Danio rerio: one gene and its partner. The main gene of each other region encodes a partner of the protein of the gene in region 2 in a complex. Links are inferred from orthologs where the notes say so. Each region holds a gene or a part of one and is shown on either strand. Other genes may lie near its edges. The genes, in order: nppc and npr3.

Region 1 (3,774 bases), on a different chromosome or scaffold from region 2:
TTGTCCAAACTCCAGGCAATTGCACTTACTGTTTGCACATGTGCCAAAGCATTTGCAATTCACTTAAATAATTAAGAAACGCCACTCTGAAGTGAGCAACAAGCTAAATGTTCAGAGATCTAAACTTATTGTTTTGAAAACTAAACAACTAAGCAATATGAGACAAACTGTCCTGAAAAATCTTTTCCCCTGGATTTTATGTCCGACGGCGCCCTCTTGTGTCCAGTAGGAAGAAAACAGATAGCATTCACCATGCAGATAAACAGATAGATGGATGGACAGACAGACAGACAGACAAATTAGATAGATAGATAGATAGATAGATAGATAGATAGATAGATAGATAGATAGATAGATAGATAGATAGATAGATAGATAGATAGATAGATAGATAGATAGATAGATAGATAGATAGATAGATAGATAGATAGATAGACATAGATATATAGATAGTTAGATAGACAGACAGACAGACAGACAGACACAGACAGACAGACAGACAGATAGATAGATAGATAGATAGATAGATAGATAGATAGATAGATAGATAGATAGATAGACATAGATATATAGATAGATAGATAGATAGATAGATAGATAGACAGACAGACAGACAGACAGACAGATAGATAGATAGATAGATAGATAGATAGATAGATAGATAGATAGATAGTCTGCTCTTTAGTCTGGTGAATTGTACAGATTGGAGAATTCTGCTTCGTTTGTTGCGTTTGTGCATTTTTTAATGATACTTAAAACATTTACAACTATTAGAGACAAAATAGTTACAAACAGAATTGACCTGCATTTTGCATTCATTTCAATGTTACATAAATAAAACTGATATTTATAAATATCTCTTTTATAAACATATAAATAGTTTTTAAAACATAAATACATTTATGCCAGAATGAAATACATGAATGTACAGCAGCAGCAGCAGCAGCAGCAGCAATATACAGCTTTCCTCATCCTCGTCATGGTCCGCCGTGAGTGTTTCTTTATACATATGTTTGTTTGTTTGTTTGAATGATTTTTGTCCGTCTTATCGTCCACTAGTGGTTCTTCGTACCATTAGTCTCAGTTTTTTGCCTTTTTTCCCTCATAGAGAAGCAGCTCAGTTTGTCATATCCGCACTCGATGACGTCTGTGATGCTCTGAAAGAAAGAGCAGATTCACACATATTAGGTCACTTCCACACGTACACGAGTTCTCCCTGCTTTCATTGTTAATAAATCTCCGTCCACATGAAAACACAAACACACTGTGATGCACGTTAATCAAAGACTCTAGAATACACAAGACGTGTCACCTGTATAGTTTTGAATGGGGAAAAGTGTAACGGTCAATATGAAGAATGAAGTCCCGCCTTCTAGTACAGGAGCCAATCAGCGGTCACTATAGACTGTCTCTGGGGGAGGGGCTCGAACAAGAGTAATTTTCTGCAGATTTTGTGTGATTCAAACTTTTAGTAATAAAACTAAAGAGACAGATGTTGTTTAATTTTATTCTTGATTCCTCATATGACATTTATTCATAAGCTTCGTAATCTAGAATTTAATAGTTCCCCATTTAAACTGAATACGTTAGTAAAATGAGTAAAATGCAAGTCGTCAATGCAAACGTGACAACGACACAGAATACACAATGCGTTTGTCATGAACGTACTGAATTTGAATCAATCACGTATGGTGGGAACCTGGCAGTATTTTTAGCCAATTTAGTTTTGGAGGTTTCATACACTGTAAAAAAAATGTAACCCCCCCCCCCCCCAAAAAAAATTGACATTTCTGGTAAATTTCTGTAATATAATATCAATTATTTTACAGTAAATTTTTTTAATCTAATATTCGTTATTTTACTGTAAATTTCTATAATGTAATATTCATTATTTTCTGGTAAATTTCTGTAATTTAATGTATGTTATTTTACAGTAAATTTCTGTAATGTAATGTAATATCCATTTTTTATGGTAAATTTCTGTAATTTAATATCCTTTATTTTACGGTATATTTCTTCAATGTAATATTCGTTATTTTACGGTAAATTTCTGTAATTTAATGTCTGTTATTTGATGGTAAATTTCTGTAATTTAATGTCCGTTATTTTACTGTAAGTTATTTTAATTAAATGTCTGTTATTTTACGGTATATTTCTTTAATGTAATACCCGTTATTTTACGGTAAATTTCTGTAATTTAATGTCTGTTATTTTATGGTAAATTTCTGTAATTTAATGTCTGTTATTTTACTGTAAATTATTTTAATTAATTGTCTGTTATTTCACTGTAAATTTTTGTAATGTAATATCCATTTTTTTTTACAGTAAATTTTTGCAATTTAATGCCATTATTTAAAAAACTAATTTCCGGCACCCCAGCTGCCAAAAATAAACCGTAATATTACAGATTTTTTTTTACAGTGTGGTTGAATTTTGGGCTGATCTTCGCTGCTCTTCATTTCAACAGTAAGAGGAGAATGTGAAGCTTTAATTAGAACAGGTTTGCCTTAAATATTGCAATATACACAACATTATAAAAGTCACTAAAGAGAAGAACTACATCTGTCAAGAGATGATTAAACTAAGAGAAAGCTGTCTGAAAGAGACGTCTGGGTGCTAATAAACCATAAAACCACAGCTGCCCAATAAATAACTGTGCACTTTCCACTAAACTGTTGGTCTGGAGCTCCACAGGGTCACTACACATGGCCGGCTGCTATAGTTGTGCCAATTGCAAACAATGGTTTTAATCGTGCCAGAAGCTAAAATCTTGGTCTGTAAACAATGTGAAACATGTATTGGTCTCTGAATAGTCCACCTTCACAGCAGATCATCCTGAGATGTTCAAATGAGATTACATGAATGTAAAGGTCATGATCTGCGGTGTGATTTCGGTGGTCATGTGACCGTGTGTTGATCTGCTCACCATGAGAGGTTGTTAATGGAGTGGTAGTGGGACGGCTGGCAGCCCATCCCGCTCATGGTCCCTATCCTGTCCATCTTGTGTCCGAAGCAGCCGCTCCGGGCTGTTGCTCCGCCTTTCTTAGATCCGGCTCTGTGTCTGCGGGTCCCTTGCTGTTCGTTCATGATCCGCGCCCAGGGGCCCCGTGCCCGAGTGTCCGTCCGGATGTCCCGCAGCAGACGCACCCTGTTCTCCAGCCTCCGCTGACTGTCCTCAGCCTCCAGGAACTCAGACAGCTCCTCTCCCAGCAGCACCCTGAGGGACTGAGACAAACACACACACAGAGCGTCAGCACGCGCACACTCACCAGACACACAGACACTTCATAATGACTCTGGATTCACTCTATACACTCTGACACATGTCTTAACCCAAAGTTGGGTTGTTTTTTTAACTAAATTTAACAATTAAAACAATTTGGTTAGGTTTATCCATATTCGACCCAACACTGGATTAATTTTTTTAATCTTAACACTTTTAACCCTACAGTTGGGTTTGCCCACAGCTGACCCAATGTCGGGGGTATTTTGTCAATAAAATTTAATGAACACTTTTTAACCCAACAGTTGATTTTGTCCATATTTGACCCAATTTTAGGTTAACTTATTTTTAAATATTTTTATTTTATTTAAATCCATTTTAAATGGTTGGGTTTGTCCACATTTGACCCAACATGAGGTTTTCAATTACATTTAAATTACACCATTTAACCCAATTGTTTGGATTGTCCATATTTGACCCAATGTTAGGTTCATTTTTTTATTAATTTTAAATAACTATTTTAACCTCATGGTTTGTCCATATTCGACCCA
Region 2 (4,366 bases):
AGAATGATATAAAAAGGCCTCGAGAGCTGTAACCCTGACATTGTTGGTGTCAAAACAGCCTCAAGACAGCATTAACCTCCTACCCCGTTTCAGTCATTCCATACTGACATTTTGAGAATTGGTGGAACATTCCTTTAATGACCAGCGTTCAGGCAATATGCTTTAGCTTAAGAAACCTAAGATGTTCGTTTCAGCGCACGGGACTGTCTTAGAAAAGCGATACAGGGGACTAGGCCTTGTGCAGGGCCCCTGTATTGAGGCATATCTGTATATTTTCTAAAATCGACAACATCCTTGCTAGGAATGTGAGAAATGCACTGTTTATGAAACAGGATCAGTAAGGAGGTGCACAGTCAGACTTACTGTGAAATGCCACAGATTTGGGGCAGACGGATATGATGTTTGAGAGCAGGCTAAAACAGCAGACAGTTCATAGTTTTGACAGCAGGCATATCTTTTAGCGCCACAATGTGTCCAACAGCAATAGTAGCAGTGAGCTCCGGGGAGGGTGTATCCTCTCTGGTTATTAAGAATCAGCCAGGCAGACAGCGCATGACTTTACTCGCCATGAGACAAGCTGTTAAAAAGTGCTGGAGGATGTCTAGAGGAGTGCTAAAGCCTACAATTGCTCCCCAAAATTCCAACAGCTCTTGCTCAGTGTTGACCGTCTGTCAAAATTCTGATCATTTTTTCCACAAGCTTTTTTTCTTTTCAACTGACCTCTTGCCTGTCTGTATTGACGGGAACCCCAAGGAGATCACAGAGGGATTAAAACACCACTTATATAGCCACTTCTGACATCTTTCTATATTTTCTAAATCTAACCTTCCCTAACATGTGTTGGAGTTCCTTTTCATGAATTATCATGTAATGTAAAAAAAAACACTTAGAGAAACACATAATTTCCAGTTTAATAACAAAAGTGGCCTAATAACATTAGGAAATGTGTTGACCCGGGGCAATACTTTGCAAAATCCACCCTCTTGACCTGCAAATACTCGAGTTGAGTCACAGCATACTGCAGAAAACAAGCTCCTGGTAAAAAAAATATCTGACTACACTGATTTTTCAGAATGGTTTTCAAGCTAATATTCTCTACAGGTCAGGTAGTTACCCTTAATAGTGTTTGACGAGTAGCCAGGAATGTAAAATGTCAAAGAAAAGGAAAAATACTACTCTGCTTTGAATATCTTAGAGGTTCTATGACAGATTTGATCCCAGGACCCACACCCACTCCCATGTTTCTAATACATCATTCATTTGCAATGGAAAGGAGATATTGATTTATTCCTATCAATGTGGATTACTACCACTGGTGTAGTTTAGTAGTTAGGGTCTAGGCTGGTAAATGAAATGTAAAATGCTCCACAAGGTGTCATCTATTCCACTTGTGAAGATAAACACCTACTAGAAAGAAGATTATCTGCCAGATTGTTTTTTTAACAAATACCAAAATAAACTTTTTTTTTATTTTTTATGGCAAGCCATTTCATTTGATTTATTTGAACTAATATTCAGACTATATGGGATAGAAACAAATCTGAATAGTCAACACTTTTAAAACTAAGAGGTTCCAGCAACCGCTGTATGAAGCTGTTTGATTGTATGAAGTGGTTGATATCAAACAGATCTTGCATCTCCAAATAATTTATTGTACAAAACATGCAATATAATTATTATGTACAACTAAGTAACCTATTTAATAGTCTACATACAGTAAGGTTACCAGTGTTAAATGCGAATATCTATCAAAAAAGTAACTGAACAAAAAGGTTCGTAAGAAATAAATGTTAATGCGGCTTGCCATGACACGGGAACTAATGACGGACTTTACCTTCGCTCCCGTAGACGGAGGTGATGATCCCGTCGGGGTCTACTCTCTCCTCGTTGGAGTTCAACACGGCAAAATCTGTTGAGATGTGGTACTCAGAGAGCACCGTAAAAACTCCCTCCATCGTAAAGTAACAGTTTCTCTCATCTTTATCATCGTCGTAAATCAAATACGCGGTTCTCCAGCCGAAATGTCCGAATATCGCCTGAAAGGTCTCAGCCATCTTCAGGTATGTTGGTGCGATTCGTGTCAGATGAGAGTACTCGGGGGTTTTGCTGTTGAAGCCGGTGGCCAGAGCACCTGCCGAGATCACCGGGATGTTCCAGTGCGATGCCACCCTCGTGACCGACGAAGCCGCGTACTCGCACACCGGACCGAGGACCAGGTCGGGACGCTCGTCTTTCTGCCGGTCCACGAGCGCGTAGAGAGCGTCCATCCCGCACGCGGAGTTCTCAAAGCGCACATTGAATCTCAGTCCCGCATACGCGTCTGCTTCTCTGAGGGCTTTTTTCGCGTACTCAATAGCCGGAAAAACTCTCGTGTACGAGAACAGGTATGTGTTGTTGCGAGGCAACATGACCATCACTTCGATGTTGTCATTCAGTGCACTTGTCCTGCCAGGCACCATGAGCACTGCCCAAATGGACAGACAGAGTGGCATGAAACATGACATCTTTAACACCAATGAACGAAGTAACTGACAGTTTGTCTTTTTCTGTCAAAGCTGTTGAAAGTTTCTCTCTCTCCCTCTCTCTCTTTTGCCTTCTCTCCAAAGTTGATTGCTATATAAATTAAGACGTATCCTTAATTGAACTTAGTGTGGTACAATCCCACTCTTTCAGTTTATGAGTGAGTTGTGTCGTGTGTGTCTCTCTCCTGCAAGTGTGTCCAGAGCCCTTCTCTCTCTCTCTTTCTCTTCCCCTGTTTGGAGTCTTCTCTGGGTCTCTGTCTAACTCTCCGCTTGCCTGTGTAATTACTCTTGTTAGGATGTGTGAAGTGTGCGGCTCGGCTGGTCACCACACATGCTGCAGTCTAGGAGGAATTTTCAAGCATCCTTTCATTATTATTCCTGCGTCATTACTGCGCTTCCCGCCCCCTCCTTAAAGCGACAGTGCTGCAAACCATGACAGTCAGCAACTTCAGTTTGGATCAAGCGGTCAAGGTACAGTCCTCACATCACGCTTTCAGCTAATTAGTGATGCTCATATAATATTACGTGATTTTGTAATTATTAAACTATGAAACACATTTAAAACAAAAACGTCCTGATGCAGAGTTGTGCAATATGACATTTCTGTTAATTATTAATTATGCGATTGCATACTATTCAATGCAACAAACATTAACCCAACAATAAAAGGAAAGCATCTGTTTAATTAGCAATAAAAGCTGCAAAATACAAAGTTTAAATTTTAAAATGAGCAACAAAAGAGCAAACTAGAAACAGAGAAAAACTAGAAACTTCACAAAATTGGAGTTATTGACAAGGCTCTTGAAGCCTAAAAGAAAGTTTACTGCAAGATGAGTCTGATATCAAGGGGGAATATGTAAACTAAAGGCCACAGATGTGTATTAGTGGGCAAGTATGACTAAGGCCATATACGTCATACATATTTTCAAAGACATCCAGCAAAGAAGTGTGAAACCCATGCTTCATTTTCACGTTAGAAATCTGGCCATAGTATTTTGCACCAGATGCAATTCATCAAACGCCAACTGTGGACATATGCAGCAAGATATTACTGAATCACAGTTTAATTACATCAGAATTACATCAGAAACATCACACTTCACAGTAACAAAAGCAATCATACATACTTTAGATGATCTAAAATCATACGTATCTGTATTGTGGACTAAATGAGTGAACAAGTCAACATTTTTGACCCTCCCCTCCCCCTGTTTGTTTGTTTGTTGTTGTTTTGGTGGTTGATATAGAAGGAGAATCTTTTTATTAACTTTATTTATTTAGTTATTAACCCTTTAGATTAAGGAACGCATGTTTATGACTTGTTAGCATTCATATTATTAGCTTGCGATATATTAGTTCTTATAAATTCAATTCATCTTTATTTCTATAGCGCTTATTACAATGTAGATTGTGCCAGATAAGCTTAACATAGATGAAGTTAGTAAACTAAATCTGCTTCAGTTAAAGCACAAAATAACATCTTGTTCTGAATAACCTTACAAAATTACAACTACCTTACTTTCTATAAATCAGCAATCAAATTAGGGCAATGCAGTGGCGTGGTAGGTAGTGCTGTTGCCTCACAGCAAGAAGGTCACTGGTTCGAGCCTCAGCTGGGTTAGTTGGCGTTTCTGTGTGGAGTTTTCATGTTCTCCACATGTTCCCGAGGGTTTCCTCCGGGTGCTCCGGTTTCCCCCACAGTCCAAAGACATGCGGTACAGGTGAATTGGGTAGGCTAAATTGTCCGTAGTATGAGTGTGAGTAAGGGATAGAATAAATAAAGGGACTAAGCCGGAAAAAAAAAAAAGAAAGAATGAATAATCAAATTAGGAGCTTACTCAGGA

Evidence for each region.
Region 1: the proteins of npr3 (region 2) and nppc are in contact, whole or in part, in a crystal structure (PDB 1JDP), measured with the Homo sapiens proteins. The link is inferred for Danio rerio from reciprocal best matches to the Homo sapiens genes NPR3 and NPPC. Residues at the interface, in NP_001191304.1 of Homo sapiens: Asn110, Tyr138, Ala141, Pro142, Arg145, Ala161, Gly163, Phe164, His166, Glu170, Tyr171, Tyr204, Lys208, Leu209, Arg211, Tyr214, Phe215, Leu217, Glu218, His221, Glu222, Gln225, Ile233; in NP_077720.1 of Homo sapiens: Gly109, Cys110, Phe111, Gly112, Leu113, Lys114, Leu115, Asp116, Arg117, Ile118, Gly119, Ser120, Met121, Ser122, Gly123, Leu124, Gly125, Cys126.

Annotation. Positions count from the first base shown.
Region 1 is NC_133197.1:40,808,506-40,812,279, forward strand, and holds the end of nppc (C-type natriuretic peptide precursor), read right to left. Parts: intron 3,226-3,774; coding exon 2,927-3,225; intron 1,158-2,926; coding exon 1,157-1,157; 3' UTR 718-1,156; downstream 1-717.
Region 2 is NC_133180.1:42,212,853-42,217,218, forward strand, and holds the start of npr3 (atrial natriuretic peptide receptor 3 precursor), read right to left. Parts: upstream 2,835-4,366; 5' UTR 2,505-2,834; coding exon 1,835-2,504; intron 1-1,834. UniProt on the Homo sapiens protein: Receptor for the natriuretic peptide hormones, binding with similar affinities atrial natriuretic peptide NPPA/ANP, brain natriuretic peptide NPPB/BNP, and C-type natriuretic peptide NPPC/CNP.